Linked DNA regions of Macaca mulatta. The protein of the gene in region 1 purifies or fractionates together with the protein of each later gene. This does not show direct contact. Links are inferred from orthologs where the notes say so. Each region holds a gene or a part of one and is shown on either strand. Other genes may lie near its edges.

Region 1 (4,425 bases):
GATGCACACTTGGCTGCTGGAGCTGGAAGGCCGCTGGCCAGGTCAGGGCCAGATCAAATGTGTCTCCTGCTCCCAAAGACACCTCAGCACTGGCCATGCTGTGATCAGGGCCCTTCTGGGCGAAGAGCCGGGCAGAGGTCTGTCTAGTCCTGATGCTGGCCCCAGGGCACAGAAGGTGATCCCTGACTCACCAGGTGAGGGACCTGCAGATGGGCCGGCGCCGGCCACCATCACTCTCCGAGGTGAAAGAGTCACGGCCAGCACAGGCATTTACCTTCTCAGGGCCCCTCCCCACCTTTCCTGAGAGGTTTCCAGCTGGTGACCACTAGCAACTGGGATGCTGCCTCAGGCAGGACTCGTGCACCCTCAGCACCCTGGTCCTGCACCCAGCAGCTCCAGACAGGATGTCCAGATCCAGGCAAGACAAGCTATCCGCCCTCCTAATCCCCAACCCAAGAGACCCTGCATCCGGCCCTGAAGTCATACTCAGCCTGACAGAACAGAGGGGGTCCTCTACCCACTTAGAAGTGTCTGTTGTATCTGTGCCTAGAGAATCCACACACCTGCTGCTCAGTCACTAAAGATACTCATCATTTCCAGGGCCCTCCTGTGTGCCACCGCTTCACACGTGTGCATTCACTGCATCCTCACGGCAGCCTGGGAGGTTAGCATGACTCACTCCATCCCCAGATGAGGAAACTGAGGCACAGAGAGCCAAACGACTGGCTCCAAGTCACAAGGCTCTCAAGGGGCAAAGCAGAGATAAGTGATCCCCACGCCATGCTCCTCTGCCTCTTCCGCCCCCGACCTGCCCTGGTACCTGGTTCTATCCTCAGTCCATGACCAGAGTCCCAGTCTATAGGCTTGTTCCCCTCAAGGATAAACAAGTCCTTCAAAGGCGCTGCGAGGCCAGCAAGCAGCTGACCAGCTCAACCCCAGAAGGTAGTGGGCACAGGGCTCCACGGTCCCCCAACCCTACTACAGTGGACCACTTATCACTCCTCCCTGCCACTTAGGGGAAGGGCGAGGGGGGCACTTCAGGCTCTAGCCTTCTACCCTGTCCTGCGCAAAGGACACACACACACACAGGTGCCTGCACTACATGTGGCTCCAGCAGTGAGCACACACATGTCACGGCCAGCTTGTCGTGGAGCCCACTCTGCCTCTTCTCTGTGCCCACCTTCAACTCCTCACCCCACGGCCACCAAGCCTCCCACCTGGCCTTTGCCTGCAGTCTCTGCCAACCGAAACCCTCTCCACACTGCCCTTAGGATCATCAGAGTCATCATCAGCTGTTCCTGCAGCCCCTGTTCCGACCCCCAGCCCAAGGCCCCTCACGCCAGGGCAGCCCTCAGCCAGCCTTGCTTCCCTCAGGCACTCTCTGCCCCAGGTGGTACGGCCTCCTCTTTGCCCCTCACAGGTGCCTCAGCACAGACAGCTCCCTCTGTGGGTCAAGGCAACACTGACAGCCAGCCTGCACCCGGGGGATGAGGACTGTGTGCTCCTAGCAAGCGAGAACTCCCTCTCTAAAGAAAAAGGCAGATGCTCACGACTGACGGTGCCGTTAGACACACACTTGGATAGGACGGTGCCATAAGACACACATTTGGATAGACGGTAACAGGGAAGAGCGTGTGCTGCGTAAGAGGCTACTAGGAGGGGCTGGAGATGAAGAAGACGCTAAAGAGGCTTCAGGAAGTGTGTGGGGGGTCCAGCAGAAGAAACACAAAGAAAAGAGAAGTCCAGGTCCTGGGTGGGGACAGCGACAGCTGGACTGACAAAAAAAACACGGTAACTGGGAAGGTAACCTCAACCCCACCTCAACATCCAGCCCCTGCCTGACCACACAGCCATCCCCACTTACTGCCCATCTGCAGCTAGGATTTGACTGCCTGGGTGCCAGTCCCAGCCCCTCTGAGCCGGCCCAGGCCAGGCAGTCAACTTATCCCCGCCTGACTTCTCTACAGATGGGGGCAACAGCAGGGCAACCCCGGTGGGCTGCTGGGAGGAAGAGGTGAGATCATGCACACAAAGGGCTGTGCGGGGCCTGGCACACCGAGCACGCTCGCCAGCGCTGCTGTCTCCAGGCTGCTGCTGATGTCATCGTCAGGCTCCGTTTTCTCCTACCCCCTGGGCTGAAGGGCTCTCAGACACGGGCGCTGACCCCAGACACAGACCTCCTGGGCATAGGCACCCATTGCCACGCTGATCCCCCACCCAGGGCTTGGCGTGCAGGGCCTGGCCCGTCAGGCGAGTCGCCAGGAATACTCCTCTCTACTCTCGACGCTTCCTCCTGAAATCCTCCCAGTTTCAAGTCAAACACCGCTTCTCCATGCACCAACCCGAACTCCACCCCCTCTTTGCACCCCGCCAAGACCGCCAGGGGCTTCAGACGCAGCACCAAGGTCAGGGGCGGGCTGGTGAGCCGCGGGTCCGCGCCCCTGGAGCCACTAGAGCCACAGCCGCCGGCAGCCGGCCAAGGGGAGAGCCCGTCCCACCCCACAGAGGCCGGGCAGGCCGGGCCCAGGCTTCCCTCCCGGCCGCCACCAGGCCCGCGCGGCCACGCCGCCCCCAGCGGACGCCCATTCTCCCCACGGGCTGTCAGGCCGCCCCGACCTTCAGCCCCCACCCGGGCCCCGGTCCCCGTCCCCGTCCCCGGCCCTCAGCCCTCGGCCCCCCGACCCCGGCCCTCAGCGCCCAGCCCCCGGTCCTCAGCCCTCAGTGCCCGGCCCTCAGTTCTCGGCCCCCCGACCTGGTCCCCAGCCCCCAGCCCTCGACCCCCGACCCCCGACCCTCAAACCCAGCCCCCGACCCTCAGCGCTTAGCCTCGGCACTCACCGCGCGGGTGCGGCCCGAACGCCACCAGCACGAAGTAGTCCGCGAGCCGCGCCATGGCGAGGGACGCGGGGCGGCCCGAGGGGCGCGGGCGGGCTCCGCGGCTCGGGGACTCGAGGGCGGCGCGCTCATGGCCCGGCCCCGGCGCTGGACCGCGCACCCCGGACACCCCGGGTTCGCTCTGCGGCGGCGGCGGCGGCCCGGGCTCCCGCCGCCATCTTCCCAGCCAGCCGGCCCGCCCGGGCGCGCCGTGCGCCTGCGTGCTGTCGTCCCGCCCTGAGTGGGCGGGGCCTTCAACCGCGCATCTCCATTGGTCCAGAAGGTACGAGGGCGGCTCCCCGCCCATCGCTGCCCACTCTGGGGCCCGGGCACCGCCCCTCGAGCCGGGAACCCGGACTGCGGCTCCGGCGGGTCTGACGTCCCCACCCGGGTGGGCCGTGGTGTCGGCGGGAGGCAGGGGCCAGGACCACAGCTGCCCTCGCGGTTGGGACTCCCCGCACAGGGGCCCGAACCCCACTCCTGGGCCCTCCCAATCTGGGGATCGGGTCCCCAGACGCCCCGTCCCCCGCCCCTCGCTGTCCAACTGGAGGAAGGCGGGAGGAGCCTGGGCGCTGCCCACCGGGCCCCCCAAACTAGAAGTCAGAGGAGGCGCAGGGCCGTCACCTCAGGGGCTGCCAGCCTGGCGATAGGGAATGGAGAGAATCAGGCCCTGCCCTTGGGGGTCCCAGGCTGAAGAGCCCCCATCTGTAAGGCGAAGTGAGACATTTAACACATTAGCTTAAAAACGGCACGCTCATGTCCCCCTGTAAAAGAGCAAGTGTTCTAAGCGTGTGAGGCACATGAGGCCACGGAGCAGGGGGCTCTAGGAAAGCTGCATCACCCAGGATCCCTGACAGTACCCACCCCTCTCAAGGGCAGGGCTGGCCAGGGCCACCCCTGAAGTGGCTCAGGGATGAGCATGAGCCTACAGCAGAACATGCTGGGAGAGAAGGTGCAGGAGCCAGCCTGGTGCAGCAGGGAAATCCCTCTGAGCATAGCAGGCCAAGGTCTGTTTTTTGTTGTTTTGTTTTTGAGGCAGAGTCTCAATCTGTTACTCAGGCTTAAGTTCAGTGGCACGATCTTGGCTCACTGGAACATCCGTCTCTCCTGGGTTCAAGCGATTCTCCCACCTTGGCCTCCTGCATAGCTGGGATTACAGGTGTGCGCCACCATGCCTAATTTTTGTATTTTAGTAGAGACGGGGTCTCACCATGTTGGCCAGGCTGGTTTCGAAGTCCTGACCTCAGGCCATCCACCCACCTCGGTCCCCCAAAATGCTGGGATTACTGGCGTGAGCCACTGCGCCTGGCCCACCTGAAGGTCTATTTTTTGTTTGTTTTTGTTTGTTTTGAGACAAAGTCTCGCTCTGTCGCCTAGGCTGGAGTGCAGTGGTGTGATCTCAGCTCACTGCAAGCTCCACCTCCCAGGTTCACACCATTCTCCTGCCTCAGCCTCCTGAGTAGCTAGGACTACAGGCACCTGCCACCACGCCCGGCTAATTTTTTGTATTTTTAGTAGCGACGGGATTTCACCGTGTTAGCCAGGATGGTC
Region 2 (3,806 bases), on another chromosome or scaffold:
GCTAACTTTTTGTGTTTTTAGTAGAGACGGAGTTTCACCGTGTTAGCCAGGATGGTCTCGATCTCCTGACCTCGTGATCCACCCGCCTTGGCCTCCCAAAGTGCTGGGATTACAGGCGTGAACCACCGTGCCCGGCCAGAGAAGAAACTTTTTCAAACAAGTTATGCACAGGTGTAACTGCTAGCTTATAGTTCTCCATCTCTCTTGATGCTCTCTTCTCCCTGTGCCAAACCTTAGACTTTGTAATTGTTTGTTCATCCTGTTTCCAGAGGGTGAGTGGGACTCAAGGACAAGGACGGGTTTAAAAACCAAATTTGCCAGATGGTTTTTATTGGATGTTCTGGTAAAGAATTGATGAGTAAGGATCCAAACCACCGACTACAGTTAGATTCGAAGCATGTGGTGTGGCTACATAATTCTGATCCGGTGTTCCTGGGTCTGGGAACTCTTCAGTGCATTGTCAGCTTCAAATTATTCCACTAAGATCTTATTTTCATTACGTTTGTTTCATGATGTTGTCTCTACCTTATATTTGGTATAACGTTTTACGTTACTTATTTTAGACATTTGTAAGAAGTATCTGTGTTTCTAAAGGACTTTTGAGTATATTTTCAGAAATAACACTGAGCTTATTTATAGAAAATAGGACAAGAAATATATAGAAATGTGATTCTAGTGTATAATTTTCATGTTTTAGTATGGTTTGGATATTCTTTTGCTTCTTTAGATTTTTAGAAATGTCTAGGAAATTGGTTTTACCAAATAAATATATATATTGACTTTTAAGTTACAATAAACAACAAATTATAAATGGATTTTAGTTGCAAATAAGAAATGGATATGCTTCATGCTTAGTACTTTTTCAAAGCGTAAAGTCATGCATTTGCCCCTCTTCTTCTTTCTCCAACACCTTACAGGGTTTGCCAAATGAGAGTTGGAAAATATCCAAAATAAACAGTAATTATGAGTTCTGTGACACCTACCCTGCCATCATTGTTGTGCCAACTAGTGTAAAAGACGATGACCTTTCAAAAGTGGCAGCTTTTCGAGCAAAAGGCAGAGTCCCTGTAAGTAATAAACATTGTCATTTATACAGGAATATGTATTGCGTTAGGTCTAAGATGGAAAGATTTAAGACAAGAATTCAGTGAACAAAAATGGAAAGCAGAAAAATAAACTTATAAACCTGGATATACCTTTGATTCTCAACAGATACCTAATTATATAAGCAATCTGTTTGCTATGACTCCCTCTTGTACGATTTCCTATAACTAAGTATAAGGGTAACTTTAGTCATACCCTCTAAAAGTAGTAGAGAATAACAAAGGAGTAGCAAGAACAAGTTAGCATGCTGTTGTATTACCAGTTGGCATTGCTGGTTTCACTGCATCATCCTAGAGAAAATGCTTCTTTCTTAGATACTGAGCATGATGCCATAGCTGCGTGGGGGGAACATCATTACAGAAGTAGTAGCAGACAGCAGGGAGTAATGGTTTGAGCCCAGAGTTTGCATCTGGTGTAATCCTGAGTCACTTGGCCACTGGAGGAAAATGAGAGGTGGGGTGGCAGAGTGGCAGATTTTATAAGAGACTGTATATTCACTTTGTTCTTATCCTGCCACGTATGTTATTGTTGAGATACAAAGTTGTTTTTAAAATTAGGAGACAAGATAAAATTAGTCAATCAAATTGGAATGGGGCTAGATTTTAGTAATAGTTTGATTTGGGTTTTTCTTAGAATCATAGAATTTTTGGGGTGGGAGGGGATTTTTAGATCTCATGTAGTCAGAATTGTTTCATCCTGACCAAAACATTGAGTCTGATGGCCACTACAACTCTGTGATTGGCCTGTCCACTCTCACTTTTGAAGAAAATATGTGTAAGAGACCATGCTTGAGAAGGGAACTTGTTTTTCCTACCAGGTAATTAGAGCATACATTGCTTTAGGAACTGTACTAACACTTGTTGCTTAAAAACACTAGGTGTTGTCATGGATTCATCCGGAAAGTCAAGCAACAATTACCCGTTGCAGCCAGCCACTTGTGGGTCCCAATGATAAGCGCTGCAAAGAGGATGAAAAATATTTGCAAACAATAATGGATGCTAACGCACAGTCACACAAGCTTATCATTTTTGATGCTCGACAAAACAGTGTCGCTGATACCAACAAGGTATATTCTTAATAGCATTGCAGAAACATTGGATATTTTCATGTCCTGTCTGTAAATCATTATGCAGTTGGAATAACTCGTTGATTTTTCACCACCTGAAGTTAGAATCATTTGGAGTCCATAGCTATTCCTCCCTGGTGTATGCTCCTTGGGCTATGTTTGGTGTCTCACATGAATTGGGATCTTGTCTGTTTCATTGCTTCTCTACAATATCCTGTCTGCTAAATCAATTAAGCAAAGACCTAGAAAGACAATGATCATCTAAAGGATTTAGCATTTTAATGATACGATCGTGAGGACTTGAAAGTCCGTTTAAGAAATATAGTGGTTACTTGATTAATTCATGTCTGGTCTGAATTTCTTTTAGAATGGTATCAGCGATGTGAAATGTGTAAATGTACAAAGTTTCCATAAATCTCATGGAGCACCTGTGTAGTGTACCTTGGGTGGCAGTGAGATGTGGTTAAAAACACCTCCGTTCCCATGACTTTCATGATATCACACCCTGAGTTTCTCTCGCTTTTCATTCAGCCTGGCCTTCTCCATCTCCTTAACTGATTTCTCTTCCCAGTCTTCAAATGGCATTGCTCCTTGAACTCGGTCTGGGGTCCTCTCTGCTCCACACAGACTCCTGGGGCCATCTCTGATGGCACAGCTTTAAACACTGTCTGTATGCTGAGTTCAACTTGAGCTTGACACTGCAGTTTCTATCCTGTCCTGATCCCTCCTAAGGTTGAGACTGGATTTCTGTCCCATTGTATGGCTGACATCTCTGCTTGGCTGTTTCCCGGGCCACAAACCCTCCGTGTATTCCAACTGGCCTGAGAGGCAGGATGGTAAGTTGGTGAGACATCTCGGCTTTGGAATCACTTACCTCTGGGTTTTCCTCCAGGTTCTGCCACTTGGTGCTCTAGATTCCAGAGCTGGTTACTTAACCTCTCTCTGTGCCTCAGGTTCCTCTTCTGTAAACAGGAGATAATGTCAGTGTCTCATGTCACGGTTGTGTGAGGATTAAAATTCAGTGAGAAGAATGCATGTAAATGACTTAGCACAGCGGCGGGTGCATCCTCAGGGCACAGTACATGATGCTGATAAGCTCACCACCCCTGTGGTCAAGGGGGCTGCCCAGGTGTCTGACTTGAGGGTGGTGTCTGTTACTGAGATGGGGAAGACTGGGAGAGGAACAGGGCAGGGAGGAAGATGGGGGAGTATTAGTTTTCTGAGGCTGTCATACAAATTACTACCAACTTGGTGGCTTATAGCACCAGAAATGTATTGACCACAATTCTGGAGGCCAATTCTGCTCCCTCTAAACGTTCCAGGGGAGAATCTATTCCTTGCCTCTTCTAGCATGGGGTGGCTGCCCCAGCCTTCCTGGGCTTACAGCCACATCACTCCAATCTCTTCTTCTGTTATCACATGACCCTCTCTTGCTCTGTGTTTCTGTGTCTCCTCCTTTCTCTTCGAATGACACTTGTGATGACATTTAGGGTCCACCTGAAATAATCCTGGATCCTTAAACACATCTGCAAAGACCCTCTTTTCAATTAATCTTTGAAGCCTTAAGCACATCTGCAAATCTCAGGATCCTTAAACATCTGCAAAGACCTTCTCTTCAAATAAGGTCGCATTCACC

What was found.
Region 2: the proteins of SBF1 (region 1) and MTMR1 purify together in Homo sapiens (affinity purification with mass spectrometry; 4 studies listed by BioGRID and IntAct, with this or other methods). This does not show direct contact. The link is inferred for Macaca mulatta from reciprocal best matches to the Homo sapiens genes SBF1 and MTMR1.

The regions. Positions count from the first base shown.
Region 1 is NC_133415.1:982,943-987,367, reverse strand, and holds the start of SBF1 (myotubularin-related protein 5), read right to left. Parts: upstream 3,077-4,425; 5' UTR 2,894-3,076; coding exon 2,839-2,893; intron 1-2,838. UniProt on the Homo sapiens protein: Acts as an adapter for the phosphatase MTMR2 to regulate MTMR2 catalytic activity and subcellular location. Promotes the exchange of GDP to GTP, converting inactive GDP-bound Rab proteins into their active GTP-bound form.
Region 2 is NC_133426.1:156,978,560-156,982,365, forward strand, and holds part of MTMR1 (phosphatidylinositol-3-phosphate phosphatase MTMR1), read left to right. Parts: intron 1-917; coding exon 918-1,067; intron 1,068-1,981; coding exon 1,982-2,170; intron 2,171-3,806. UniProt on the Homo sapiens protein: Lipid phosphatase that specifically dephosphorylates the D-3 position of phosphatidylinositol 3-phosphate, generating phosphatidylinositol. Could also dephosphorylate phosphatidylinositol 3,5-bisphosphate to produce phosphatidylinositol 5-phosphate.